2 linked regions of the Alligator mississippiensis genome follow. Each later gene encodes a partner of the first gene's protein in a complex. Links are inferred from orthologs where the notes say so. Each region holds a gene or a part of one and is shown on either strand. Other genes may lie near its edges.

What was found.
Region 2: EIF3J (region 1) and EIF3M share a complex: the UniProt entries of both Homo sapiens proteins name them as parts of the eukaryotic translation initiation factor 3 (eIF-3) complex. The link is inferred for Alligator mississippiensis from reciprocal best matches to the Homo sapiens genes EIF3J and EIF3M.

The regions. Positions count from the first base shown.
Region 1 is NC_081834.1:1,709,870-1,724,963, forward strand, and holds the start of EIF3J (eukaryotic translation initiation factor 3 subunit J), read left to right. Parts: upstream 1-9,229; 5' UTR 9,230-9,311; coding exon 9,312-9,336; intron 9,337-9,409; coding exon 9,410-9,510; intron 9,511-15,094. UniProt on the Homo sapiens protein: Component of the eukaryotic translation initiation factor 3 (eIF-3) complex, which is required for several steps in the initiation of protein synthesis.
Region 2 is NC_081825.1:205,263,411-205,278,655, reverse strand, and holds the start of EIF3M (eukaryotic translation initiation factor 3 subunit M), read left to right. Parts: upstream 1-9,890; 5' UTR 9,891-9,958; coding exon 9,959-10,000; intron 10,001-11,060; coding exon 11,061-11,193; intron 11,194-13,720; coding exon 13,721-13,859; intron 13,860-14,290; coding exon 14,291-14,414; intron 14,415-14,960; coding exon 14,961-15,055; intron 15,056-15,245. UniProt on the Homo sapiens protein: Component of the eukaryotic translation initiation factor 3 (eIF-3) complex, which is required for several steps in the initiation of protein synthesis.

The sequences.
Region 1 (15,094 bases):
TCCTATGAAACAATACAGCATTGCTTTAAGCCAAGTATTTTAATCTTCTCCACTACCTCCTTTAAGGAGAATAGACTTTCCACCAACATCATCATCATCATGTTGTTAGACCACAGTTTAGATTATTTAATAACACAATATTCATATCAGGTTCTTTTGTGACAGCCTTAGAAACTGAAATCTCTGTTTATCCATATCATGTACACCTAATAAACAGCAGCTAGACAAAACTTCTCCATGCTGGCTTGCCAAATGCCCCTTGAAAGTACTTGAGCCTTCCTGATTCTTCATTTGTGGTCTCTATTTGGAGACTGTCCATGGCAGTGCTTGATGGTGCTGGTCTGTCTGTCATAAACTGCACTGAGAAGGAAGTCAACTGAAACTTAAATCCCTCTTCCCCAAGACAGAAAAAAAATAACACCCACAAAACGATTCTGGATGATAAATACAGAATGCTCCGATTCAATCTGGAACCTATTAACAAGGAATAATTATTAACCTGCCTAAAAGGTAGGAGATTTGCAGGCAACAAGAATAACGAACCAAAGTTAATATTCCCCGTTTCCAAAATTTTCACTCACTTATATAAGGAATCACATTTAATATGGTTCTCAGCCACTGTGTAAAAAAAAAAAAAAAAAAAGTAATCTCACCCCCCTGGTAGGGGAAAAGAACGGGGACCTTCTTGCGTACTTTCTGACAGAAACAGTCAACGGCTCCTCCAAGAAAGGAATTAGACCTTCAAAGCATGCAATAGTTCAGATAGCATTAAAGAAACCAGTCACTGGCGTGAGTAATCTAGGCAAATGTCACCTCTGTGGAAACTCTTTGCCAAGTCAGTCAACTGAAAAGCAACTGAATGGTCTCCAGGTGACATCTTTTATTTGCTAATATCCATGAGCCATCTCAGTCTGTGTATGAAAACTCCTTAAAATGACTCAGTTCCTCTCTCTCAGACCAAACACTGCAGGGTTATCATACAGGATGATCAGGGTACAAGCCTAAGGTTTAGGATATCCAGGGTCACACCCCTGTACTTGACTTCCTGCGTGTCTTTGGAAAGCCACCGAGGGCCAGATTTGTAAAGGTGCCTCATTTCCATTAAAACCCATGTTGAGGTAGAGACAAATATTTGGCCCTTAGTTGCTCTCTGCCTCATTGGGATGTCAGAGGGTGACTACATTAGAGACCATGAGTCACAGATTCCATGAAAAGTACTAATTGAAAGAATTTCTAGGTAGATGAGCAAATTCTCTCTCTGCCCCTGCCTGGCTCTATCCTTTTCCCATCTTATTGACCATCTATAGGGAATCTCTGGGGAAAGCTCAGTGGACAAGAGAGTCCAAACAGTTAATAATATGTAGCCCCCTACCTTACTCTACATGATATTCTGTACATGAAATGGAAGAAAAATCTCTCCCAAGGTCAACTGACACCAGGCAACTCCTATGTGATGCTGGCAGAAAGATGGAAGCTCTTTGTGAATTCCTCTGCATCCAAGCTACCGGTAGTTGCTTGTTAAAATAGATTTCTAACCTCTTCAGGATTGAATGAGACAAGAATCCAAGTAGATCAGTGTGCACAGTACTACTCATTATTGCTCCCTTTGACAGGTCAATGGGTGGAAATATGTCATCAGCCTAACCCTGGTTCTCTGTTAGGGTTCCACTTGTGCAATAGACTCTCAATATAACTGGAGCGCAAACTTCCTACCCATTCTTCTGTGAAAGAAACTGCCCTCTCCCCAGCCTAGCCTGTGAGACTAAGGGACATCCTGGGATAAAATCTCCTCTTTCTTTTCCCCCTAATCCTTGCACAGGAGGCCCGATCAAATTGAGTGGATTATAAACTTCTGATTTAATAAAGAAACCAGTCATTCGTTTGAAATATTCTGGAAAATGCCGAGTTCCAACTACAAATCCGTTAGTAACAAGAAAACTAAGAAGCCTCTAGAGAAATGTTCATGTGCAACTTTTGATCTGACACAAGGCCAGTACTGGAATAGTCTCCCAGGGAAAAAACATAATGGATTTTTTTCCAGGAAAAAGTACTATGAAAAACCTATGACTAATTGCTGAACTATCTAAAGCTATTTACAACTATTTAGGCATCAGAAGAAGATTTAGCAGCTTACTCAAACTCATAGCTTACTCATAGCAAAAGTTGGCAAGAAGGGAAAAAAAGGGACTGCCCTGCCCTTTACAATTTTGGGCGGGAGGCATGAGAAACCCCACCAGACATGCTGGCTAAAATAAAGAAATAAACAAATAATCAGCACTCCAGCTCAAGGGTTATGGGCACATCAGTGGGGAAACAAATTCAGACAAAACTTGAAGAATAACCCATTTTTTTCTGTTTCATAGGAAATTCTGACAGTTCAGATTTTTCTTTCACCCCCAATTCTAGCAAGAGTTAAAAACTTGTCATCATTCCCCCCCCCCCCCCCCCCCCCCCCCCCCCATTTGGTTGATTTATTTTGAAACATTTAGATTTTTCAAATCAGGATTTTCTGGCAGGACAGCTTCTGTCAAACTGTCAATCTGCTCTGTTCACAAAATCACACAGATAAGCTCTGGCCAACCATTTCTTTCTATGTTAGTTGAGATTTCATTTGATTGGAACTACTGTTTTTAATGGTGCACAAATTTAATATGCCATCTTACCTACTTTAACTCATTAAAAGCAGAAAGGATATTCAACCTGGTCCTATGGTATGTGAAAATACCATGATAGGATATGGCCACATGGTGTGTTATACTTCCTGAAAGGATTCTGAAGTTATGATAAAGATTTGGCATGCTCATTACCTCGTATTTCCTTTGTGTCACCTGTGAAAGAAAGCATCAAGAAGTGTGTAAAGAAGTATGCAGCATAAAGAGCGATTTCCAGGAGTCATTCCACGCTCTGACAGTGTCTGGGGCAACCATTTGATTAGATAGTTTTGTGGAAGGTTTCCAAGGTTTTCCAGATAAATAAGTCTTGGTTTCAGACTGGTTTTCTAGCCTCACACTGAGGCTAGTAGAGGGCCCTGATGGGGTGCTTACACAGAGACTTGTTAGAGAAAGCTATTTCCAACTTTAAAACCAAAGAAAGTGAAAACAGGTGGTCAGTAATAGTGTCCTTTAGGAATCATTATTTTATAAGCCCCAGCAGGTAGACTGTGATGAGCAGAAAAAAAACCCAAACTTAATTTCTTTATTATTTATTACTGTATTGTAGGGACTAGTCAGCCACTGCCATTAGCCCGTGCCCCCAGGACATTTGATTCCGTTTAAAATTAAGCTAAAAATAACTCCTTGTCATTTCAACCTAGTCAGGCTGCTTAAAATATATATAATCACACACAAAAAAAAACTCATCAAAACAACATTATTAAATATTGCAAAGGCAAGCACCTGTGTTGGGAAATGCCAGAATCAAGGCTACCTATACATTTGCCTCCTTTGTGCACATGCATTATGGAACAGTTTTTGAATACACAATCAAACACTATTTCCCCCCCACAGGATCCCTGCTCAGCCAGTACACATGGTGGATGGTGCTCAATTGACATGCAGCCATTCAATATTTTATTTTCTTCCTGTTCAGTAGGTGTCCAAAACTATTCAGACCTGGGTATGGAAGATGGAATTATTAGTGAATTGTCTATGGGACTCATCACCATAATATCATAAATATTAATGAATTTATTTTTACAACGGCCTGCAAGATGACGATGTGCTATTTCACCCCATTTTACAGATGAAGAACTGATATATTGAGATCTGAGGGGTAAAAGTAGCCACTAACTTTGGGTGCCCAGTTTAAGATATCTAGAACCAAATCTTTCAAAGCATATAGTATAAAGCACAGCTCCAACTGGCTTCAGTTACAGGTATGACTGTTCAACACTTCTGCAAATCAGACCCTAGGGTCTTTCAAGCAGGATACCAAGAAAAATGAGGAGCACATAATTAGTGATCACCCACTAAGTCTTACTTAAGCAATTTGCCCATTGTGCAGCAACTGCCTTAGACATAAGACAGTCCCTTCTCTGCCTCCAGTCCATAGCCCCTTTCATTAGAGACTGAAGAGACAAGGTTGCACAGACACTAATTCTAGCATTTCCTTACTTTTGACAGCTTGAAATTACAACCTTAATAATTTTATTTCATGTAGTTTTATATATTTCCAAGTTTAAAAAAGGAATAAAAAACAAAACAAAAACACAGCTGTCATAATGTACCAGTGTAGGAATCCTTCCCTCCACAGCCTAGTCTCCTGTCATTTGTGCTAACGAATTAAATAATATTAATAGAAAATTGTCATTTCCTAAGTTGACCAGCACTAGAATGGCAGTGGGTCTGACAGATACTTGGCAGTTACTAACTGAAAGAAGGACCTTGGAATGGGACATCAGGCAGCCATAGATATAGGCATACCTGGTAGGACCGCCAATCATAACATCCTGAAACTGCATACGATATTTTCCTTAAATAACAGGTTCATGAATATAATACACGTGCCCCAAGAAGGAAAAAGAATGTTTAGCATGGAGTACAGATAAATACCAGAGGTTTGAGCTCCCTGGGGGCTGCGTACTGGGGATGCAGTAGGGCCTAATATGGAATGATTGGGTCCAATTCAGTACACCAGCACCAAGGTGGCACGGGGCAGCAGGGCGCAATCTGTCCCACTGGCACTGGGGCTGCATGCTGGGTCCAGCCTTGTGCGCTGCCTTCAGGGCTATGGGCCAAGTCCAGGTCTAGAGACACATGCTGGGCCCAGGGCCATGTGCTGGCACACCAACCCTGCGCTCCATCCTGATCTGATGCACAGCTAGGGTAAGGGGCTCCCCATGGGTCTAGAAATGTCTCTCTCCAGTTAACAACTAAGAACCATTAAAAGACATCCTCACAAAAGTTCTGAGACACTGGAAGAAAATACAGACTTTCTTTGGACACTTTTAAACACAAAAACAGCAATATTCCTCAGCCAGAACCATGCATTTGGCCACCACAAAACTTTGAGAGAGTCTATTTTGCAGCTGGTCCTTAATTCTGCTACACAATAGGGCAAACCAAAAGACTGGGTAGAAAGTCTTCTAAGCTTTGGGGGACTAAGTGAGCAGCTGGAAAAAAAAGTCCAAATTCTGGACCAAATTCAAATTTTGAAGCTATGCAACAGCACAGTGCTCTGGAGAAACTTTTTCTCTGAACGCTCAGCGTACTCTGTTTAAGTGCAGTCTCAACACCGACTTCTGCTAGCAGCCCTTTGACCACTGCTTTCCCTACACTGCTTCAGGCACTCTTCAGGTGGTAAAATCGGTTACAAAATATACACTGACAAGTTGGTATGTGATTAACTGAGTTACAAAGTAGTTAGCAGGGATGAAAGATGCTATGCACTTAACTGGTTTATGCACTTAACCAAGATGTAGATGAAAGATATTTGTTAGAACATGAGCAACAGGCAACAAATTGGGGTTGCCATTATGTTATGCAGTTAAGTGAATGGTGCACTTATGCGTATACATTGATTGGATATGCTTATCTGCATAGGTAAGTGGAGTAGACTATTATTTTATTTTAGGACATACCTCTCCATCCCAACTACTAAGGATAATATTTGGTACTTCTATTTTAAAAGGCTCAGGGCAGCTTATGGTAGAAAACAAAATAACTTATAAAAACAGAAAAAGACAATACAACAAAATAGTATAACTACAATTCCCTTGACATGATGTTCAAAATTTCAGAGGACATTACAAATATGAAATCCCTCCATGACCCTGAGAGGTACTTTTCCTTTCAACAACTTTAACTTTCAAATCAAAAAAAAATCTGGCAGTATATGCTGCCAAACTGTAATTGCAGATATCTTTTTTAATGGATATCCAGATGCTTCTATATACTATTTCTAGGACTTGGTAAAGAATATAGTTCATTTTTTGCTACTATTAAAGGATGCTTTGCTTGCTAATTGGCTTAACTCATATTTAGCCATAATTCAATATTTACTCAATTGAGTAAAAAACAAAACAAAAACAAAACAAAACCCCATAATGACTCCTAGCATAATTTAAACCAGAATTCAAGGTCAATGTGTTTAAAACTAAATTTACATACTTAGAAAATTTAAAAAGTTATTGAGAAAAAAAATCACTTTACACACCCCTTACCAATTATTAGGCACAAGCATCTAATGCTTGTGAAACCACATGCTTCTCTGAACCAGCTAGTCTGTAAGGTGCCAGCCTCCCCTGCCTTCTGCCTGACTTCAGACTAACACAGCTAAGCAATTATTTATGATACTCTTGATTATTAAATATCATCTTACATTTATAAGTTTCCTGATATTTTGCTAGGGCTCAGCAGGCTAGCTTTAGGTCCAACCAACTTTAGGTCACTGCAACAACTGTTTAACAACATACATCAACATGCTGCCATCAATTTAAAATGGAAAATAATAAAACTCTGAACTACAAGAGACAACTGAAACTCATTTCAGGAATTTAGGAAGGCAGATACCCCACTGTTTGAAGTCAGTCAAGACAGGAGACCTTGCCTCAAGTCCTACACTATGTCACTTTAAATACCATGTCACACAAATGACAGCGCCTACAGAAGCACAGTAGTGCTATGAGTCAGCATTGAACTCATGGTCTAGGACAGGGGTTGGCAACCCCACAAAACCACTGGATCCAGCCCACGGATGTGGGGCTTTGGTGGCATTCAGCAGTGCGAGGCTCTGCCTGCAAGTGCTCCCCATGTACTGCCACACAAGAAGGACAAGCGGTGGTAGCCGGTCCTAGCACCTGCCCAAGCACCTGACATGGGGTGTGTTGTTCCGCCCCACAGTGAGCCAGAAAGTTGCTTACCCCTGGTTTAGGAAAAGTAACGGCTACTGAATAACCAACACAACTTCCCACAGTACCCATGTATTCACTGGCTGTCTTCCACCTAAGTATCAGCAATAATCCAGCTCAGCCCTGCTTAGTTAAAGGAACTGACTAGATGACAGCACAAGCTGGTACAAATACAAACAGTTTAAGTCACCATCAATGCCGTTGGCTCTTCTCAACATCTTGCCCTGTTTGAACACTGTTAATGTGCTCAGTGAAAAAGCACATTCAAAATGGGTATGGTTTGTGTTTCCATGTTTCTTTCCTAGGAAAAGAGGAGAAAGGACAATAGTGACAAGGGAACAAGTTTCAATCTAATGTGCCATAAATTGGTGGGACTCCTGGGAAAGATGACACAAGATACAGCTGCTTGCACTATGGGTGAATTTGCCAGTATGAATTTAAATCTGATCACTTGCCTATTCTTTTCATGCATTTAATGGCTATATTTGTTTAAATTATAATTGGTACCTTTTATCCTACTACATCCCATATCTAGCACTTCTTCCTTTGATTCTGTGTTCATTTCCTCTAGATTGAGATAATCCGGCATATTCAACCGCAATAAAACATTGTGTGTTGGTGCCCTGAATGACATTTGCATCTCTTTACCATTATAATTGCAGGCTTATACTGCCAACATATTTACAGTCAAGGAGACTTGCATATGAGAGAGCAAGGGTAAGAGTGAAGTGGCTGACTAGCACTTTACTGTTTTACTTCCTAGAAGTTCATTTATGTATTTATTATATTAAGGTACTTGAGCTTTGCCTCTGTCTTTTCCAGAGGACAGGAGGAACCAGCACAGACTCAGAGATCTTGTCTTCATTAAGAAGTTTATTATTCATATATACACCACATATTACTGACCAAGGGAGTTATAGTTTTCAAATGTTAGATGATCAGAGCCTTGCCTCTCTCTCTGAACACACGTGAGAATGACCAACAGTATTGTCCACGCAAAATATGTCACTTAAACCAGGCCTGCGAAGTTAAAACACTGCAAGGCGCCTAACATGAATGCACCTGTTTACCCCCCGGTTTACCCCCTTGCTGTAAAGGTGCACGTGCAAAGGACACGCGGGTAAAAACAGTGTGTTTTCACGGTGTTAGCTCACGCACCCCGGTCAGTACAGCACCGCTGGAAAGGTGCAGGCAGGTGCAGGTGCAGGTGAACGAAGCCACGTCGTAGCTAAAGCTCCTCGTTAGACTGCGACCACAGCAGCTTCTCCCGGGGCAAAGCAGAACGCCGCGTCCACGCTGAACCTTTTGGTCACGTTAGGCAGGAGATTCATGGTTGAACACCGCGTCTTTTATTTTAGTCTCGGCAAGCCCCCCTCCGCCGTCACGAAAGAACTGCTTCTCCCACCCATCGCCCCCGGAAAAGGGGAGGGAGACCCCAATTATGACGGAGCTCCCAGCCGTGGACCCCAGCCTGCACCCGGAGACGAAGGACTGAAAATAACAGGATGCTTGGAGAGGGCCGGTCGAGACTCCACACCACGAACAAGGGTTGCTGGCCCGGCTGCCCGAAACAGGCGAGCCGACCCCATTTCAGCGCTCTCAGGCCAACTGATTCCCTACCTGGAAGACGTGACGTGAACCTTCGGAAGACCTGGGAAGCAAGCGCAGGATTCGGCAAATTGGGGTGCAACCTCTCCGGCAGGGTGCCCTGTCCTCTCTTCTCCCGATGCGCCGCTCCCGTCCCGTCCTGAACCCTCTCCATGGCTCCACCGGCATCACCCCCAGCCGGGCCCGGCCTGGCCTGGCCTGGCAAGGGCAAGGACAGCTGTCCTGTGGGGACTGCCTGCGCCTCCCACGGGGACGTTCAACAAAGGTGGCAAACTCCAAACCGAGGGAAGGCCCCGGGGTGCCCGCCCCACCCCGCGTAACCGCCAGGAAACCGGGACCCCGCCAATAAAAAAATCCCAATTTTGGGGGCTAAAAAAACCCAACTAACCCCCCCAAAATCCACGCTTAAAATGAAACGCTGCTATATAGGCATCTCTATATTAGTGGCGCTTCATTTTAAAGCACAGGAAACGTGGATTTGGGGTTACTTTTTTTTTAAATCTAAAAACTTGAGGGGCTCAGCTCGCTCATGGCTACGAGCTGCCCCAGACCCACAGGCCCCCTCAGTGGGGGGGGGAGCCTCAGAGACCCCTTTTGAGGGGGGGGCCCAGCCCGACAAACCCCCCTCAGTGGGGGGAGAGGGGGGGCAAGCCTCAGGGACCCCCTCACGGGAGGCCGCCTCAGCCCCGCAGAGGGGGAGGGCCCTAGAGACGAGACCGCCCCGCCCCCCGCTAGCCCCGCCCCCCCGGCGGCCATTCCGCCGCTATCCCGGCATGCCCCGCGCGGCGCGCGGCGAGTCACGGCCCGGCGCGGCGCTCCCTTCTTCCTCCCTTCCCCCCCCCGTCCGCGAGGCAAGATGGCGGCCGAGGCGGACTCGTGGGGTAGGTGCTGCTCCCGCCGCCGCCCCCCGCCCCCCTCCTTCTGCCCCCGCTCACCCGCTCTCTCCCCTCACAGACGCCGACACTTTCGAGGCGGCGGATCCGGCCGCCAAACCGCTGGTGCCGGGCGTGGGCGTCGACCGCTGGGCCGGCGAGGATGAGGAGGACGACGTGAAGGTGCGCGCGGGGGGGGCGGGCACGCGTGTCCTCGAGCGCGGCCCGGCCCGGCCCGGCCCGTCCTGTCCTCTCCCGTGGGGCCGCCTGCCCCGGGGGGGGGCCGGGCTGCGCTCGGGCCGTGTGTGTGCGTATAGGTGTGCATACGTGTGTGTGTAGTGCGTGTCTAGGGGTGGAGGTGTGCATACGTGTGTGTGTGTAGTGCGTGTCTAGGGGTGGAGGTGTGCATACGTGTGAGTATAGTTGCATACGTGTGTGTATAGGCGTGTCTAGGGGTGTAGGTGCATATGTGTGAGTAGTTGCATACATGTGTGTATAGGCGTGTCTAGGGGTGCAGGTGTGTGAGTATAGTTGCATACGTGTGTGTATAGGTGTGTCTAGGGGTGCAGGTGTGTGAGTATAGTTGCAAACGTGTGTGTATAGGCATGTCTAGGGGTGTAGGTGCATATGTGTGAGTAGTTGCAAACGTGTGTGTATAGGCGTGTTTAGGGGTGCAGGTGTGTGAGTATAGTTGCATACGTGTGTGTATAGGCGCGTCTAGGGGTGTAGGTGCATATGTGTGAGTAGTTGCAAACGTGTGTGTATAGGCGTGTTTAGGGGTGCAGGTGTGTGAGTATAGTTGCATACGTGTGTGTGTATAGGCGTGTCTAGGGGTGTAGTTGCATACGTGTGTGTGTAGGTGTATTGGGGGGGTGTAGTGTGTGTGTGTGTGTGTGTGTTTAGGGGTGTGCGTGAGACCAGAAGTCGGCGCTCACAGGCCGGTTTCCAAGCAGCGGGACCGGGTGCGAGATCTGCCCCCGCCCCAGGGCGATCGTGCGTCCTGTTCGCTACCGCTCCGAACTGCACGGCTCGTGGACGACAGTGCGGCGCGGTGCGGCGGGGCTGGGCTCGCTCTGCTGTCCCGCGCGTCTGTCGATGCTGGACCGTCCGGGCAGGTTTGGACAGGGGCGACCCTGCCTCAGGCAGGGGTTTGGACTAGAAGGGAGCCCTACTCCTCTTGCCATCTTTAGTGCTTTGGACGCTTGCACATGAGATGTCGAGCAAAACTGCGCAAGGATATTCTGGGGGGCAGATGTCCGTGAACTTTCTTTTTTCTCTCCTATTTCTACCTTCCTGCTTCGGAGCCAGCGCCCGGGTGCTCACGTCTCTGAAGGTGTCTCGTTTTCTAGAGTACAGAGAAACACTGTCTGTTCTCAGTTTTTTGTGGGTCTCCCCATAGCGAGTTGCTTTATGGTTTCCCAGCTGGTGTTAATCTCGTGCTCCCCGCTGAAGAGCGTGTCACATCCTGTTGGACGGGACTTTGGCCTAGAGAAGCGATGAGACGGGGGTGACGGCCAAAGGGAGATATAAGCAACTGGGCTTGGCGCTGAGAAGGGACTATCTGGAGCCACCGTCTGCTGGCTAGGAACGGTCCCTGCCCTTGCAGTTGTCTTTTAGCCCTAAGACCGCCCTTCCCCGGGAAACCAGACAGCCCTTCAGTGCTACGTAGGATTAGGTGATGAGATGCGACGTAGTGACTTGAGGTGGTTCTCGGAGCTGATTTCGCTGTTTCCTGCGTTTGAGTGTGAATTGTCGCAGATTTCCAAGCCGTAGGAGGGGACGTTCTGTATTTGAAGTTGAGGCCGCTTTGTTTTGTGCACGTCGGTGAACGAACATTGGTAACTTAATACCTAGAATTAAACACTGAATTTAGGTTACTGAGAGATTGCTGTAGACAGTCTTATTATTGGTGACTAGATGATGAAAGAAGTGTGTTCCTCCTTTCTGGTTCGCCCGGACACGGGTGCAAGTAGGTCCTGCTCTAACCTTGATTAGGGTAATTGGTGCTTGCTAGTTGTGGGCTCCAGCACTACTTTTGCTGTTCAGGTTGCAGCCAGGGAAGCATTCGATAGGGGCATACTTTGGCTTTTACAGAGGTGGGGCCTCTGGGTGGGGTGGAGAGAAGCATCTTGCAATAGGGAGGTGCCAGGTGAGTGCAGCACCTTGCTACTAGGGTGTGTCAGGTTGGGGAGCATATTGCACAGCCTGGGGCATTCGCCCCTCCTGCCTCCCCTCTGCCCCACCATTGTCTGCGCTAACTGCCGGACCTTGTGTACGAAGTGTACGGCTGTGTCAGAGTTGCCCATAGCTTGGGTTAGGTGCTGCTTGTAATGAAGACATTAAGAAAACCAAAGTGAACGGTCTCTGTACTATCTTCATTAGGGGTGCACCGATAGAGGTTTTTTGGGGTGATAGCAAAGGCCAATTTTTAAGGAGCCATATCAGCTGATACCGATCTGATTCCAACAAGCATCCCAGCAGCTTGGAGACCAGCAGCAGGCTGGTAAGTCAGGTGGGGGGAGGGAAGGAGCATGGGGGGGTGCCCCTGCGGTGAGAGGGAGTGGGGCAAGGGCAGGCGCTGTTCAGCCAGGGCGGGGCATGGGACGGAGCCATGAGCAGCTCGTGCAGGGGGGATGGCTTTTGCCACTGCGCGCACCCCAGGAGGGCATGGGGAGCATGTGTTCCCAGATCTGTCTGGTGGGCCAGGCTGCAGCTGTGGGCTGGGGGCAGAGGGGGCTGGGCCAGACTGCTCTTGGGGCAGGCGGTGGTGGTGCTGGAGGGAGATTGGGAGGAGGCTATGAGAAACCTTGGGGTGGCTGCAGCGCCCCCCCCCCAATAGCCCCACGCAGATCCGGGGACACTCCTCCCATGCCCTTCTGGAGTGTATGCAGAGTGGGAGCCACCCCAGTGCCCCCCAGATGAGCCGCTCACAGCTCTGTCCCATGCCCCACCCCAGCTGTGCAGTGCCTACCCTGGCCCCACTCTGTCCTGCACTGTGGGGGCCTCGATCTGCACCCCCCCTCCACAGACTTAAAAGCCAATGCTGCTCTCCAAGCTGCTGTGCTGCGCTCCTGGCCGCATGCATGCTGTGGCTGCGCACATGCACAAGGCATTTAACAGCCACATCAGGTGAAAAAAGCCAACTTCCAATAGTAATTTTTCTGTATATCAGTGCCATTTTAGTATGGGACTGATGTATCAATGCACCTCTTATCTTAATGAAGTTAAATACTTCTGTAGGACAAATAGACTTTGAACAGTTTGTAGCTTTAGATGTGCTTCTTTCTCCTGTGTGCGTAACCTACACCCTGTGTTGGTGCACAGTGGTTAGGCTATTTTTTAACAGAGGGGAAACAGCCTGAATTGGCATTTTACAGCCCCCAAACCTGTTCTGGCAAGTAAGGCTTTGCTGCCACGTTTTCCCTGAAACACTCAACAACTTCCTGCTTCTGCCAAAATGTCTGTCAGATAGATGTGTAGCCACCTAGCTGCTTCCCAGCTGTCTGCTTCTTTTTAAAGGGCTATAACTGGATGTAATCGTGGTCTTTCAGAATGAGAAAACTGCTATGCCATGTATGGTTATTTTAATATAACTCTAGATTCTCTTCTGGTTAGTTTGGTATTTTTTAGGTTTTCTTACTGGTGATTTAAGTGGGTTTTTAAAAAACATTTAAGTTGAATAAAAACATAATGGTAGTAGTAAGCTGAGGAAACTTAAGAGTTACAGACCTTAATAACTAAGGTCTTGCTAAAGTAGCAAGAAGTTACTCTGAAATGTTACCTGGAATATGAAATTATATGGAAGACAGGCCTAGTGCTAAGACGCTTCTGTTTACTTTTGGGCAGTCCTGTGCTTAACAAAGCCTAAACTAGGAAACATGGTTGTCACAGTGTGGGGGAGCAGCTTCCAGACTGCTTTGATTACTTTTGTGCAAAATGGAGCCATCCAGAATGTTAGCTGGAGACTCGGGCAGTGCGATGACTTGTTCTTTCTGCCTGATGGTGGAATAACAAAGGATGATTCTTGGTGGGTTTTTTGCAACCTGAATTTTCATGCATTGGAGACGTATAGAAGAGTGAATATGGATCTGTAACAAGCAGCAGCGGCTAGCGGCTTTGGCCTGGGATCATGCATGTGGAAAGGGAAGCATCAGTTTTATAACTGAACAGTCAGCTATGTATAAACAAGCCCTTGAAATAGTTTAAGATTTCAGCGAGGTTGCTGTAGTATCAGCATTGGAAAGGTGTCACTTCTGGACTGCTTAGTTTTGGGGTAACAGTGAAAAAAATAAGACTCTAGAAGAAATTGCACTGGTTTCATGAAAGTTACTCAGATTTTTAAAATGTATCCTGGACTCCTGTCCCGTACACTAAAAGCTGTTAAAAGACTGTCCTTAAGCGTATAGACCATAGTCCTGCCCTGTCAACAGTTTTGGAGAAGAGCTGGGGGGAAATGAGGAGTTCGTTGCCTTGCTAGAAGACTGATATCTGAGTTCTGGCAGACAACGCTAGGGAATGTCCTGCCAGCAGGAGTGTCGTATTTGTCTTGGGCTGCTCCAGCTTGTGCTTCTGCAGATCTCCACCGTGACAGCCTGTCATTTGGGGGACGGGGGGGAGGTGCTGCCTCGCGAACTAGGCGCCAAGTCATTGCCAGCTTCGTAGATTAAAGCAACGTGTGGAATTCTACCCAGAAGCTGACTGGAGGCCTGTGCAAATTACGGGACACTTGGGAGCATGCTAGACTGATGCTCCAGTTCCACTTCGGTGTGCTGTATTAGGCTGTTCCAGCTTCATTTCCTAAGTGATCTTAAGGGAGAGGCCCATGTGGAATGTGTTGGAACAGGTTAATTTTGTGAATCCACAACTGTACATGCTTGTGTGCACTGGAGAGAGAAGATCGCACTCTCTGGACAATTACAGATGGAAAAAGGCACTCCTTGCTGCAGCTTTTCCCAGGGCATCCAGGACTGCCCAGCCTGCTTGTCTTGGAAATGATTACATTCCTTCTGAGGTCCACAAAGTTGCCAGCTGGTGACATTAGTTCAGTCCTCTCTAAATTAAACCTTGGTCATCCAGCTCTTGGGTAAGCAGAAGGAAACGCATTCTGTCTTTCTGGCTGAGGCAGATGTAATGGAGACGTAGGTCTGTGCAGTACACTGAGGCCCATGTTTCTTAGGCATGTTGAATTTGGTAAGGTAGACTTGTGTGGTAGAGTGAGAGAGAGATCTCTCATTGCGAATCTGCTGTACCCATTAATGCTTGCTGATGAGTTAACAATCTTAAGGGTCACAGCACCCTGTTTTACAAGAGATGTCTTGGAAGGACAGGGGATCAGATGAGGAAGCAGCCTATAAACAGCAGTGCCTACAACAGTAATAAAAGGGTGATGTAAGGAAAAGGTGTAGCTGAGATTGCTGTGAGCCAAGATGATGATTGTTACTGAAAATTCAAGCTAGCTTTGTGGAGTGTGGAGAAGAAGTTTGAATTGGAGGTGCACTGAGAACAAGGAGCAATGGTCTCAAGTTGCAGCAAGAGAAGTTTGGGTTAGATATTAGGAAGAATTTTCTCACGAGGAGGGTAGTAAAAGACTGGAACAGGTTATTCAGAGAGGTGGTGCAGTCTCCATCCTTGGAAGTTTTTAAGACCTGGCTAGGCGAAGCCTTGGCTGGGCTGGTCCTGCTTGGAGCAGGGGGTTGGACTAGATGTGACCTCCTGAGGTGCCTTCCAAACCTAACTTTTTATGATATATTGGTTGCATAGTGGATCA
Region 2 (15,245 bases), on another chromosome or scaffold:
ACTTTTTTTCAAGCTCTGTCTACATCAGGTTTATAACAGGTGTCTATCACACATCCCACTCTGCTTTTGTCCTTCACCTCCCCCTCTCCTCACCAGCTAAGTTGTAAATAATTTGGCCAATGATGTGTGTATGTATACTAGATTCTTCTGAAATGATCTGGCCCTTTCTGTGTACTCTCTCTGCTCTGGTTCATATTCCCTGCTGCAGGGGGTGGGGCCTGTAGACATTCCACCATGAAGATATTCTTGATCTGCTCCCACTTGTTAGTATTAGTAGACTGCAGAGAGCCAGCCTGTCAGGTGGCTGCATTCCACTGCAATCCTGGCAGCTTTTGCAGGGATGTCTGGCATCTTAGGGCAGACTTTTAACCCCATTCATGCCACAATCTGTCTGAGCTGCATTCACTAAATGTTTAAAACTCCAGATTCATTATACAATTCACTGAAAAGTTACATTTTCCTCAATAACTGAAATATATTATTTTGCTAAACTTGTTATAGCAGTGCTTTAAAAATACATACAGAGAGCAGTGTTCTTGATTTACTGAAAATCACCACAGTTGTTTAAAACTTTCTAAAAAATCTGTTTATCTGTAAAATACGTGGCATATACAGCAATTAATGGTAGCATGATTTGACAGTGAAAAGATTTTTATCAATAGGATTTGGAACATGCATGATTTCTGTGTGCGCCACATTTTACATGCAACATTTTAGAAATGTTTCACGGAATTTCTACAAGGTGTTATAGGCTCAGACAAAACGCTCCACTGAGAACAGGTCTGGGACAGAACCAGGGTGTCTATTTATTATCATTCACATCTTCAACACTACTGCTACAGGCTTGATGACACTGCTGCCAATATTCCAGCAGACATGCTGAAGCAACAGCTGCACAAAGCTGGCAGTATATCTCTACAGACCTTGGGTGTGGATTCTGTCTTCCTCAGCTCACCCAGCATTCCCAACACAAAATTAAAATAAGCCAGCTTTCTGTAGGGGAAGTGGAATTTCACCCCAGTTTAGTAAAGTGAACTTAGAGCCACCAGGTTTGTTTTAATAAGGACTGAGAAATTTTCATAAAAGGGAACTTTCAAAATTACAAAGGTAACAGCTGCTCTTTTTAAAGAACAGTCTAATTTAACTTCCCAATGCTGTCTTTTAATCTATATAGCTCTCAACGTAGGACTAATTGTAAATTACTACTTTTCCTGACTGCTGCAGGATTCCGATTCTTCCTCCTAAAGCACAGAAACTTTCATTTAATGTTCAGGGCAACATTGGAACTCAGAGTTTCTTAACATGAATATTTTAAATTAATCTATCATGCATAAAAAAAACTATTAACTTTGAATGCTATTTCATTAGTGCTTAATCTCCATTTTAATGCTACATTGTTTGTAGCATCTGAGTTTGGAGTATGTTTTGCTGACAGCAGCACGTTCCTTTTGCTAAACAGCTTTTACACTTCAGGAAAGCACCCTCGGTACTGCGATCAGTAAATCACTATCATTTTGTTCATACAGCAAATAATTTGTTTAAACTTTTGAAACATAAAACAAATCCAGGCACTGTGAACTATACCTCACCTTGTTATTTCGCATTACAAAGCATTAGATCAGCAAAATGATTCACACTTTCTAGCATTAAACAATACAAAACATAGGGTTACAGTAACAACCTCAAAGTTCCCATTAAAAAGTAATCACTTTGGCTCTTTTTTCCCGGTACTGCTCAATTCCATTACTGTTTTTTTTTCCCCCCACAGAAATATGTTTTGAATTACCCTATGACTTATAGGATATGAAAAAGCTCTTTATTACTTGCTAACAACTACTCTTGCCTAGCCATAATAAGCCAGGGCATCCTTCCCTACAAAAAAAGAAGCATGTTATTAAACAAGACTCTGGAAAGATTTGAACCCAGTTGTCAATCTCACGCTCCAAGAGTTGCCTATATGAGCTACTCCAGTGCTTATGTTCCATACCTTCATGCTGGCTCTTGGCTTCTTTGTTCCCTTCTGTCCTGTTGGTAGCACAGCTCCTCCTAGGTCCTTCCTACTGGACAGTTTCCCCAAACCCTTTCCTCTTGTGTTTTGGAGGATTCCACAGTATTTAGGTTGTTGTTGAAGATTAGGAGAACAGTTGTCCAACAGTCCTGCCCTCTCCAACCACACAGGCCTTCTGTAGAGGAAGTGATGTCCCTTCCTTCCATAAGCAAATCTGACAAACTTGCCTGTGTTCTTGCGCTTTCTGCAGACAGAAGGTATAACGGAATTTTAAGCATGTTGCAATTTTCCAAACCTCATTTTTTTCAAGTGCAATGAAAGCCAGGAAGCAGCTTATAGTATGGTGCTACTTCCAGTAATTTAGGGGAGGATTTTCAAAAGTGATTAAGTAACTTGAGAGCACTTTGAAATTCCTACTTTGGTGGATACTTATTAGAAAAATGTTTATTAAAAAAGTAACAGGAGAAAAAAAACAAAAATTGGATTTGGTTGTTTTATTCCCTTACCCCACAAATGTGTTGTACTTTAGAAAACTCAGGAATATCAAGTCTTGTCTCAGTTAGTTTGCTGAAGATTTCTTTTGAATATTTCAGTTATGTGAACTGGAAATTTTCTCAACCCTTAACAGAAGGGGCATGCCATGAATGTTTGGCAAGAGACCTTTCTTGTTTTTACAGGGGTTTAAGTTAAATAGGCTTTAACAACAACTAACTAAAAACAAAATGTTTTAAACAGTATGGCTAAAAATCCCCTCTCTCTCTCAGGTAAGGTTAAATCCAAAGTTACCTATGATATCATGAACCTAGTAGTTCTCCAATTGTCAATAAGATAGGTAAGACCCTGACTGTAAAAAACAGAAAACAATTCATTATTATTGAAGTAAAGAAAAGATAAAACATTTCAGACTTCCTTTCTACACCATGAAAAATGGGTACTACAGATATGAAAATACAGATATAATTTTAAGATCTGCAAATATTTATGAAGGGGGGAGGGATGGACATTATTATTCTCTCCATTTTACAGATAGGAAAACTGAAACAAAGGCGGACCGAATGTCTTGCCAAAGTTCACAAGACAAGTAATTTGCTCATCTAGGATTAGAATTCAAGACACTTACAATTTCAGTCCTGCGAGCTAAACATGTCACCTCCCTACTTATTCTTCTGGAGTGCTGGGTTTAATTATTCCTGTCCTTTTCTCACCATGTATCAGAGTCATCCAATGCAAGGAAAAATACAATAGCTAGCTTCTGGAAAAAATACATTTTTGAGTTAGCTTTTACTACAATTAATTATTGGAATAGATTAGAAAGGGACCAGAATCAAAACCCTGGTCTGCTCCCCACAGCACTTAAGAGGTGTTCAAGCTTTGAGGCCTGATCTGAAGCAAAACTTAAATCTTTATAATGGAATGAACTAGAATAGGGCCCATGGGCCAACTGGTGGCCCATGGGCTACATGCAGCCTGTAAGGAGTAAGTTGTGCCCCTCAGACTTCTGCCTACCTATATTGCTCTGGCAACAACAACAGCCGGGGTCCCTGGGCTGTCCCTCCTTCCTCTGGCTGCCTTGGGGGTGTCCCAGGGAGCACCCCAGGGAGCAGGGCAATGTGGCAAACAGTGCAGCAAGCTGAGAGTGAGTATAGGGCCATGTGTGCTGGGGGGACAGGACAGTGTATGTGGGCAATTCCACCCATGTACTACAGCAGTAGGAGGAGTGCCACTGAGGGCATGTGCTGCAGCATTATTAGGAATCATGCTCACACACTCACACGTTGAAGTGGGGAAGGGAGTGGGGAAGGTATTGTGCTCATGTACCGTTGCATTGCAGCAGGGGTCTCATGTACCTGTGCAGTGTAGCAAGGAGTTGGGTGCCCAGTGCAGTAGTATGGAGGTGCCTATGCAGGTGTACAGTGCAACAGGAGGGTGTGGGGGAGTGTCTGTACAACCCAGTGGCTCACTTGTGAGGCCTCCAATGCCTGTGGCCCCTGGGGGCTTATAAATTGGACACCCCTAAACTAGAACAAAATGGAAAAGCCCTGTTAACATCTGGGCTCTGGAATGTTTCAGTACAAATATAGATCTTAACTTGAGTTTGCAGCTAATTGTCACACTCTTCTATGTGTTAGCAAATATTCTATATCTCATACAACTCATAATATCTGGGTGCCTTCCAGAGGTGCACTTGACTTCCAGAACTGGGAAGTCACAAATCTGAGTGCCTCTCAGAACTGTGCTGTTATTTGACTGACATTGTCACACATAGGTTGTTCTCTCATTCAGGGGAAGAAATTTGTGTTCAACGGAACGTGTTGCTTTCATAAGATTGTTTTTAAATGTCTATGGAGCCAAATACCTACATAGTCATACAGTAGTGCTGAGCAGTAACCAGTGCAATTAAAAATACACAAACTGCCAACTGACTGCAGTAACAAAGTAATAATAAGGAAAATGGCCAAATGAATCAGAAGTTTATCAAAAACCGAGGCAAAATAACAGCCCGATGAAATCAAGAGGAGTTTTGTCATTGACTTCAAGGCCAGGATGTCACCCTAGGAAGGGTTAAATTGAAAGTAACTTATGGTGAAGGTATATACATTACACATAGACCTACTAAATCTGTGGGATGTTAAGCAGTGTTAAAGTTAGAAATCGTTGTGGGCAGTCATGCATTTATGGGCAGTACTATCTCTTGCTTGCTCTGCTCTGTCTTACCACTTGAGGGCTGGTGAGCAGGGACATAGCTAGCAGCTGGAACACCTGACCTCTATCCTTGCTCTGGGGGACAGTGAGGGGGATTGGGAGCAGTACATCTTGGGATGCTGGAAGACTGCAAACTGCAAATCCATGGAGCAGATTGAAGTTACTCTAACAAGTTGGGAAGCATGGCCCAGAGTTAACCCATGCCTGAAGTGGCATAATTCTGAGATACTCAGGGGGCACTTAACATGAGTTAACTAGTTTTAACGTGTAGATACTTATGTTTTAAGTGCCCTTACTTTGGTCTAAGTGCAATGTGTAATGTCACCCTCAGGCCCATAGCCTCAAAAGTGTCTAAGTCCCATTTAAATCATTAGGATTTAAGCACCTACCTCCTATTTAGGCACCTAAATACATTTTAAAATTTGGACCTTGCTATATACTTACAGAGGTATCCTGCATACATAACCTTCAGCTTTGGAAATATGGAATTAATTTTGCACCTCTGTACTGAGAAGTATTGTTTTGTCAGCTACAACTTACTATTAAACATTGAAACTACTTGAAACTGCTGTTTAAACATTGCAACTGCAGTTGGCAAAAATATATGTGCGCTCAAACAGAAACAATTTGAAAAAATTATACATATAATTAAGGTAGTGAAAAGACAAGAAGTGAGAGAAGGAAACTGCCAAAGAGTAAAGGCCAAGAACTGGACTTTACAGACTGTAGAGATGAGCAGTTTTATTTAAAAGATAAAGAAACCAAGCAATACTAAATAGGTACCTAAACACTTTTTTCTTTCAAGTAAAGCAGTCCGGTCTACTTACCAGTGTAATTTATGCAGGAACCAGTGAGTAAATATGTCAGAACGAATCTGTATTACTGCAACAACTTGACTGCATATAGAATATGTCTTAATGATATATCAAACCAAAAAGCTCATAAATCAGAGAATTGTGCTGTTACCTGTGCAATTTATAAAAAGTAGGTTTTGTAGAGGAGTAATTTTCTGTCTCTGCAGCCTGAGTTGTTACAATGACTAGCTGTGACTGCCTGAAATCTGTTCTGCCTTTTCAAGAATCTTGAACTCTGCAGTTATATTGCAGAGAATTCAAAATTAAGTCATGCTATTCATAGGCTTTGGTTTTTGCTGACGGGTTTGTTGGGGGGGGGAGGGGGGGGTTGGTTTGGGGTTTTTTTGCGTTCCTGAACAAAGCCTCACGCACACCCAGAAAAGTCAGTGTTCTTCAACCTGGCTCACCCAATGTGGCTCGTGGGTGCTGAGCAACCGCTGATTTTTTTCACTGGGTGCTTCAGCCCCAGGGTACCCACAGAGTCAGCACCTGTGATGCTACTGACAAAAGATTCTTCAGGTAGCTGCTATTAATCCATTAAAATGGAAAAGAGGACACCTAAGTTTGTACTCTGTAATTTGTTCAACCTGACTGCATGAGTTCCAATTTATATCTAAAAACTCCTCACTGTACCTATTTGAAGTTTGGAAGGGTGGGCACAAGCCTCCAAAATGTAGGGCTCCCTCCCTCAGAGGCAAGAGGGGCCAGAGAACCCAGAAATAAATGACTTGAAAAAACAAGGGTGGAAGTTGCAGATACAAAATATAAGAAGCCCACTAAGCAGAAAACCCCAGCCTAAGGGCCTCCAAACCAAAGACAAGTATCAGACCTTAAGGTAAACCAAGGCAATGATGGGAAGATAACATAAAAATGGATCTGAACAGGATAGGCAAAGATGCCAAAAGGTAAAAGGAGACTGCATATGACAAGAGGAGATGGAAGGTTGCAGTTAAGGTGGTTACAGGCCCCCTGAGGCCTGTGACACCAGGGGAAGAGCCCAGAGAGAAGGCAGGGGAGATTTATACCTTATAGACTAATTATATCAGATGTACAGCATCAGCTTTTGTGAGCAGTGGGCTTATGCTGCATCTCTCTGATGCAGCTACCATATTCATGGTATATTAGTTGATATTTGAAACCAAAATATTTACCCTTAAATTTCCATCTCGACTTATGCACTATGTCAATACTTTGAAATAAAAACATATTGTGTTTCAAAATTCATTTGTCCTCAGCCGGACCCTGCACCCTGCCGTACCCAGCCCACAGACAGGCAGCATGCTGGTGTCTGGGAATTTCCCTGGCACTGACTGAGGTCAGGCCAGGCTCCTGCCTCCCCCCTGTCTAATACCCCAGAGCCAGGCTGGGCACCCAAACCTTGCACCCATTGAGTCTGGCCAAGGGACACTTACCCACAGCCCAGTGGCTGTCCTGTGGGTAGATCTTGGCCAGCTGCCACTTGATGGCGCAGGAGCTGCAGCACTGCTGCCTGCTGCCAACAGCACCAGGGCACAGAGTGGCAGCAGCACTTGCCAGGAGCCACTCACAGCCCCCAGTGCTGAGCTCCATTGCTGCCCACCCAGCTGTGGCTGCAGCTCACAGGCTCTGGCCACAGCGGCCATCACTGACCCACATTTATATAGCACTGGGATAAGGTAACAGCTGAGTTCAAGCACCTGATGCCTCCCCTGGAGGTGTATGTGGTGAGGCGGTGTCAACTTACACACCAGATCTACAAAAATCCTAACTTTTTTTTATAAGAAATATGGGATCAACTTATATGTCACATAGACTTGTACACGGTAAAATATGGTAGTCTATAAGGTGCAAGTCTCCTCTGCCTTCTACCTGAAACAGACCAAGGGTGGATCCAGGGGGCGGTGCAATGGTGCAGTTAAAACCCTAAATAATCCCTGGTCCACTGAAATTTTAAAACCAACTACCCAGTAGCTGCATTTCTATTCAGGCAGCAGCTGAGACAATCAGCTAACTTCATGGATCATGATCATCCCTCTGATTCCTGCTAATCTCTCTCCACTCATTAGGTGTTAACAACCCTCTCTCCTTTTGAAGAGTCTTGATGTTGCACTATTCAAACAATCCGTGCCTCTGCAATGTTGCTGTTACCATTCCTGGGAGTGACTCTCTTCTATCTCACAAACTTATAAGCTGTTTTTAGCTCTAGCTAAACACCTTCACTCAGGTACAGGAATATGAATTCAGGCATGGGAGTATAAACTCAGATGTAGAAATAACTCCTAGTGAAGCACCGGAGACTCAGGAAGGCTAGATCTTATTTTACGAATCTGAATGAGAGTAATGACTGTGGAACTAAAGACAATATTTTTTACTGCATTTGCCTAGTTTGGGGGGGGGGGGGGGTTCAACTACGTATAGACCCTAGCACATTCATTTGCATGCCAATAGTTCTAGTGGTTTTTGCTTTGATCTCAGACTGACTCAGATACAGAAGTTTTGCTAATCTGCTAATTTCTCTTCAGCATTGCCAGGTCTTAAATATGAAATTATCATATTGGAAGCTCAAAATGATTGTATTTGCTGAAAAACTATTGCACACTGAAAAATATGCAAATAAGTACACAAATAACTATGCAAATAAGTCTTATTTACTTTATATTGCTCACTGCACGCCTCCAGTGAGTGAGAATTGGGTCATCTAAATTGAAGCATTTCTTTATTTCTAGGCAAGCAGTCAAACATAGGCACTCAGACCTCACAATCAAGGACTGTATTAAAATGGGGCTGAGTAAAATGTACTGGTACTACAGGAAGACAGAAGAGGATGATGGGAAAGAGTAGGATTACCATACATCTGGGTTTTCCTGGACATGTCCTCTTCTTTGGCCCCCTGTCCTAATGCTCAGGCGGGTTTTTAAAATGCAAGTAAAGGTCTAGGTTTTTGCTTTGCCTCCTCTTTTCCCAGCAGCTTGGATGCTTGGGGCTGGGAGCAGTGGGCAAAGTGATTTGCTGTGGGGGGTCACGTGCTCTACGTGCAGGCCCCAGCAAGTAAGTGTGTGCATGTGTGTGTGCACGCACACGTGCACAGGAGCTGCTTGGGCAGTAGGGTTGGGGGGAAAGTGGGCTCTGGATTGGGAGTAAGGAGCACTGACAGGGCTGTGGGGCAGGGTGCTGCAGATTAGGAATGAGGGGCACCGGCAGCGCCTGGGGGGGGCATAGGAGTGAGGGGCAGAGGCAGGGCACAGGCATATCGCTGCCACCTCCCCAGCCCCCAATCATGTAACCCCACTCCACTCTCCTGCCCACTGGTGTCCTCTTTTTTGATTTTGGAAATATGGTAATCATAGAGAAAGAGATGGTGGACCTCATATGGTAGAAAAGGGACTAGAAAAGACTTTTCATAGGCAAGCTCTCCAAAGAGAACAATGAGGACAACGGTGAGGATGGCAACAAAGGCAAGGACAAATATGATGACAAGCAAAAGCGCTGGAATGGTGATGGGTGTGTGGCAAACTGTAAGAGGACTAAAATACTTTAACTGTCAAAGTGTGTTTTGGCTTGTCAAGTGAACCACAGTGTATATATGTGTGTGTGTATATATACACACACAAATACATACACAAAGAAAGACAGCAAACCAAATGTAAGTTAAGACTCTCTGAGACTACCTCAGTTTTGCACACATCAATGAGATGCCTCAAAAATTATGGCAGACAAGGTTCCTTGGGTGAATTTGATATCTTTTATTAGACCAACCCAAATAGTTGGAGAATAGTTATTAAGCAAGCTTTCAGGTTCAAAGAGCACACACCAACTGCTGAAACTTCCTTAGCCTGATGAAGGGTTTTTGAACCCGAAAGCTTGCTTAATAACTATTCTCCAACTATTTGGGTTGGTCTAATAAAAGATATCAAATTCACCCAAGGAACCTTGTCTGCCTATGTCCTTAGACCAACACGGCTACAACCTAAACCCCTGTAACATCAAAAATTATGGGGCATTTTGAGCACTTTCTCTAGGCCGGACTGTACACCGTGCAAGGGTAGGGTGAAAAGTAGGCCCAACTACGATAACTGCCGCACACCTGGCAACCCAGACGGGAGAACAAGGGGCGCCGCGTGCTGACGTGACGCACCAACGACGTGAGGAGACGTCGTAGCATCATTCCAGCGCGCAGTGCCTCGCGCAGAGGGAGGCCCCGGCACACCCCGGCCCTGGCAGAGGGACACATTGCGCATGCGCCCATGAACGCTGGGCAGGGACGCTCGCGCGCAGTACTTAGCGTCAGAACAGTCCTCCCCTTCCCGTACCCCGGAAGCGGAAGCGAGGTGTGCAGCTCACCGGAAGCGACCCGTTCTTTCCGGTGCGGGCGGCGTGCTCGGTCCAGGTGGTAAAGCCAGCGGTCGCCGCCACCATGAGCGTCCCAGCCTTCATCGATATCACCGAGGAGGACCAGGTCAGGGGCGTGGCCGGCTCCGGAGGGACGCAAGCGTCCGGCGCGGGGAGGGGTGGCGGCCGAGTTGGAGGGGACGCGGCAGAGCCGGCAGGGGGCAGCTGCTCCGCGCCTCCCGCCCTCGCCTTGGGCCCCGCGGGGAGGGCTCGAGGGCTGTTCAACTGCCCTGACGGCCGCGCGTACGGGGGCGGATGGCTCCTGAGCTCAGCACGAGTGTCATAGAAGCGAGGCGGGCGAGCGTCTTAGTAACCTGCTCTTGAAAATTTCCAGGCGTGGTGATTTCAGTTTCCCTGGGTAGCCTGTGCCAATGCTTAATCGTCCTCATAGGACGTTTCTTCTAATCTCAAACCTGAACTTTCTCAGCTGCGGTGTGAGGCCGTTGCTTATAGTCCTGTCCTCTGCAGCCACAAAGAGCCCGCCTCCATCTCTTATAATCCCTTTTCACATATTTGACAACAATTATCAACCCCCAGCCTACTCCCTTTCCCTCCTCCCCTCCCCCTCTTCTCTTATCCAAACTAAATAACCCTAGTTCTTTAAGCCTTTTCTCATGAGTCTGGTTTCACAGGCCTCTAAACATTTTTGGCCCTCTCCACCGGAGTTTTTCCAATCTCTCCACAAATTTCTTGAATTAGGGACAGCATGCTCTGGTTGAGGCCTTGCCAGTGCCAAAAAGCACAGAAAAGTCTCTTCCATTGATTTGCCATTAACAGGACTGTCATTAAGTTTATGGAGGTCACTGGATTTTTAATTTACCTTGCTAATTCGTGAAAAAACTCCAAACTGCCTTCATTAGGATTTTACAGAAAGCTCAGATGGTCTAATAAAAGGTATCATTTTGGAACCAGGAGTTCTAGGTTTTTGCATTTCTTACAGAAAGTTAAGGGATTACTTACCAGTAACTAATTTTCTTTAGTATATATTGTTCTCATACTTTTCTCACTAACACATGCCCATACAGAGAATGAAAATGTGAACAATTAGGCTTTTTTCTAATAAAGTCAGTGTCATAGGGTTTTTATTACTAGTTTGAACTGCTTGCATTTGTTTCTTCCTTTAAAAGGCGGCAGAACTTCGAGCTTACCTAAAATCAAAAGGTGCTGAGATTTCTGAAGAGAATTCTGAAGGTGGACTTCATATTGACTTAGCTCAGATTATTGAAGCCTGCGATGTATGTCTGAAGGATGATGATAAAGGTTTGTGTCTTTAGAAGTCCAGGTATGGACATTTTTGGCAAGCATATTCAGGAACATTATGATGAAGTACAGAGCTTGCGATACACCCCAGACTTGCATGGGAAGCTTACAGGGCAGATGGTCCGAGAGTAAGTGTCTTCATTACTTCACTACTCAAACAATAGGCCAGTGTGAACTAGGATGGCATTTTCAGTGTTGGTCTAGTTGTTTCTATTTGAAAATTGCATAGAACTCATATTTACCTAAATGGGAACGGAGTTAGGGCAATGCTGGATTTTTTTTTTTTTAATCCCGCCCTAAATTTTTAAAGGGACCAAGCTATGTAAGAACATCAAGGTTTTTTCATAAAATGAAAGAAACCCATTGGGAACTTCAAAATTTCTGTGTACTAAAGGTGTTTGCCTACAGTGAAAAGGATGCAATAGCACAGTGACCCTCTCCTTGGCTAGTAGTAATTAAAAAATAGATTGTGTGGCCATCTGAGGCAGTGTTTAATCTTTTTGGTCTATGGTATAGTGGTCTGTGGGAGTTGAGCCAATCTTAGCCCTCCTCTCTTTAAATATGCATAATGAATGCGCAGGAGAAGCCAACAAAAGTCATTGGTACTAACAACATCTCTAATTGTTGGCAAGTTTTGGACACTTGTTCCATGACCTTCACTGCATAAAACATGTACATTAACTGGTTATGTTCAGTAGAAGATCAGCATATAATACTTTACTTTCTGCAGATAACATTTATTCACCACAGCCTGTCATGCCAGTTATAGTGAAGCTAAGGAGGTGTTTATGTGGGACTTTAGGGGGTACCCAATTATTCTCAGAGAGGACACGCTAGACATGCTACTCTCCATTTTTGTCATTCTCCATTTTATCATGCTGTCATTCATCTCTAGATGGATCTTCACCCTTTCAAACATAGGATTTTATTCAATATTGGCTGTAGATTTGTTGCATCTAAATGACACCCACATATGAAGAATTAGTCAGAATTGAGCACACTCTAAAGTTAGATTAGCCTGATCAATAAAAATTGCTGGAGCATTCCCATTTGACATCAGTGGATTTGAAATTAAGAACTGTGAGAATAGATTGGGTCAGGGATTTTGGCTCATAGTTGTTCTGTCATGTATATAGTTTTGGCACAAAACTGCCACCACAATTTAATGTGAATTCACACCTTCGTTGCCAGTCTTGGTCTTTCTGCAACCCTCACCACCATGAAGTCTGAGGGCCTCTTCAGACTGTTACACAAAATAACATTTTTCACAGGCAGCTAACTTTATCTCCTTCTCTCAGGGTAGAGTTTTGGCAGCTTTTAAAAATAAGCATGTACTTACTGATACTTGTTTCTGTCAAGACTGTGTTCCACTGTCTGGGACTGACTCCAGAGAAAGCTCTGTGTCCTGGAAATGAAATGGACTCTTGTGATATAAGGTTCCATTGGGTTTGGTTAGCAGGCATTGACCAGCTCCTCATCCGCAAGCTAAGGCAGTCTTGATAAGTTACTGAGTGCTCTTAAGATAGGGACACAGGCCTTGAAATGTACACTGTCTTCCTTTGAATCAAAAGTGGGATGTCAGTTTAATGTCACAGATCAAGTTCTCTTCTCTCCATATATGTGGTAATTGTTGATCAGGTTCAGAAGCATTTGAGGTTAGTTTTAGGGCAGGGGTTTTCAACCTTTTTGAATCAGTGTACCCCCGGCAGCAGGACACGGAGCAGGTGGTGGGGAGAGACAAGGTAGGGGGTAGCATGCAGCTGAACCTGGAGCTTACTCCCGTGTCCAGCAGGTGGGCAGCACAGGATGGTGCGTGGCGGCTCTCTGTCCCTGCCCACCTGCGCATACCCCCTAGGGCAGGGGTGGGCAAAATGCGGCCCATGGGCCACATTCAACCCGCCAAGCCATTCTGTTCAGCCCGCAGGGCCCCTAAACAATGTAGAAAATGAATGTTTATCTGCCCCTTGCTGCCTGTCATGCGGCCCTCGATGGCTTGCCAAAACTCAGTAAGCGGCCCTCCACCCCAAATAATTGCCCACCCCTGCCCTACGGCCTTCTCAAGTACCCCCTGGTTGACAACCCCAGTTTTAGGGGATTGGTTTGCCATTTACTATTTTATTTTTTAAATCTGTTTTTTACTATAAATCTCCCTGAGCCTTTTTTGTGTAGAGCACCATATAAATCAAATAAAGTAAATCATGTTTTGGCAGAGAACTGGGTGACCTTGAGCTGCTGTCATTGGTGGTGCTTAAACAACAATTTAAATTTTATATGATGGTATACTTTCCAGTGGAAACGCTGGTGTCTCTCCACACTTGGTGTTCAGTCTAATAAATAGCTGAACTTATTTAATTATTTTTTAAAATCCTTTCCTGGATTTACACTCTTATTGTATGTCTTGCTAAGACAAAACAAGCATTAATGGCAGGAGCACTTCTTCAGCAATAAAGGATTAATTGTTTCTTAATTATGATGGTTGTTTGCAGTATTAAATTGATGCCTGCTTTTTTTTTCTTCTTGGGTGTAGATGTTGAGAGTGTTATGAACAGTGTGGTGTCTCTGCTGCTTATCCTGGAGCTTGACAAACAGGAAGCTTTGATTGAAAGTCTTTGTGAGAAGTTGGTGAAATTTCGGGAAGGCGAGCGTCCATGTCTCAGGCTGCAGCTGTAAGTAACCCTGTGAAGCCAGTGGAACACAATATTTTACAAAATAATCACTTTTTTAAGAGACTCATGTTTTAGTGTCTGTTATGTTTAAAAGACAAGGTGGGAAAACTGTGGGACCTGGCTTCTGTTGAGTATGGAGGGGCAGTGTCGATTTCTGCCCCCTTCTTCCCCTCTGTAAAAATGAGAGAGCTCTGTTTAATTCCCTGGGCTGTTGTGTAGCTAACTTAATCACAGTATATAAAGTGCTTCCAGATCCTTTGACGGAAGGCACTCTGAAACTGTGACCTCTTAAAATCTGCCATAGAATTGAAATGGTGATGCTTGTACAATGATTAAAATTTTATATGATAGTACTCTTGTCTGTGCATACCATTCATTAACACTTAGCCATACTCACTAGACTTAAATTATTCTTGTTCTTTATAATTTAGACTCAGCAATCTCTTTCATGGTATGGATAAGAACACTCCTGTGAGATATACAGTCTACAGCAGCCTTCTTAAAGTGGCCTCATCATGTGGTGCCATTCAGTACATTCCAACTGAACTAGATCAGGTAATGAATTGGTTGTCACTAGTTATTTTGTATTAAGTACGCCTCCTCTCTTATGAAAGGGTATCTAGAAGTAATACAGAGTGGTTCTGGCTGCTGAAAGATGTCAAGCCCTATTGGAATTAAAGGCAAATTTTGTAGCGTAGGTGTCTAATCTTGTAAAAGTTCTTTATAATCTAAGCATATAATAATTCCTTTATGTTAAATACCTCACAGGATCTGCCTGTTGCTTTGTTGGGCTGGGATGGAGGGTAAGAGCTGGAACCAGCATTAGGGCATCAGTTCTCTGTCCTCTGCTTTGGTGGCAGAGTTCAGTATATCCATCCCTTCCTCTTAAGAAGACAAAGCACAGATTTGGAGACTTCAGTTCACAGAAGTTCTAATTCTGGGCATTAGGATAAATATCCAACCAAGATCTGTAGGATAGGTCCTTTCCATCCTTTTTTTTCTCCTGCTAAACATCTTGGAGCGAAGCGGGCAGTATTTGCAATTCTAAGAGGTATTTCTCAAAGGGAAGCAACACATCTTTATGAATTTTTTTCTCTATAGGTTCGAAAATGGATTTCTGATTGGAAACTCAGCACAGAGAAAAAGCATACACTTCTAAGACTGCTGTATGATGTACTAGTGGACTGCAAGAAAAGGTATATGAAGATAAGGAATACAGACTATAAATTTTCAGTAGGTTTAAATTGTTACATTGTGTAAAGTTTGAAGCAAATATTTAACTGATGCACTGGGCATATTTTTACATCTCCTCAAATAACTATTTTAAGAACTCTTTTTAAGTTAAATGATTTTCTCCGAGGAGAGGATGGTGGTAAAGTCATAGTA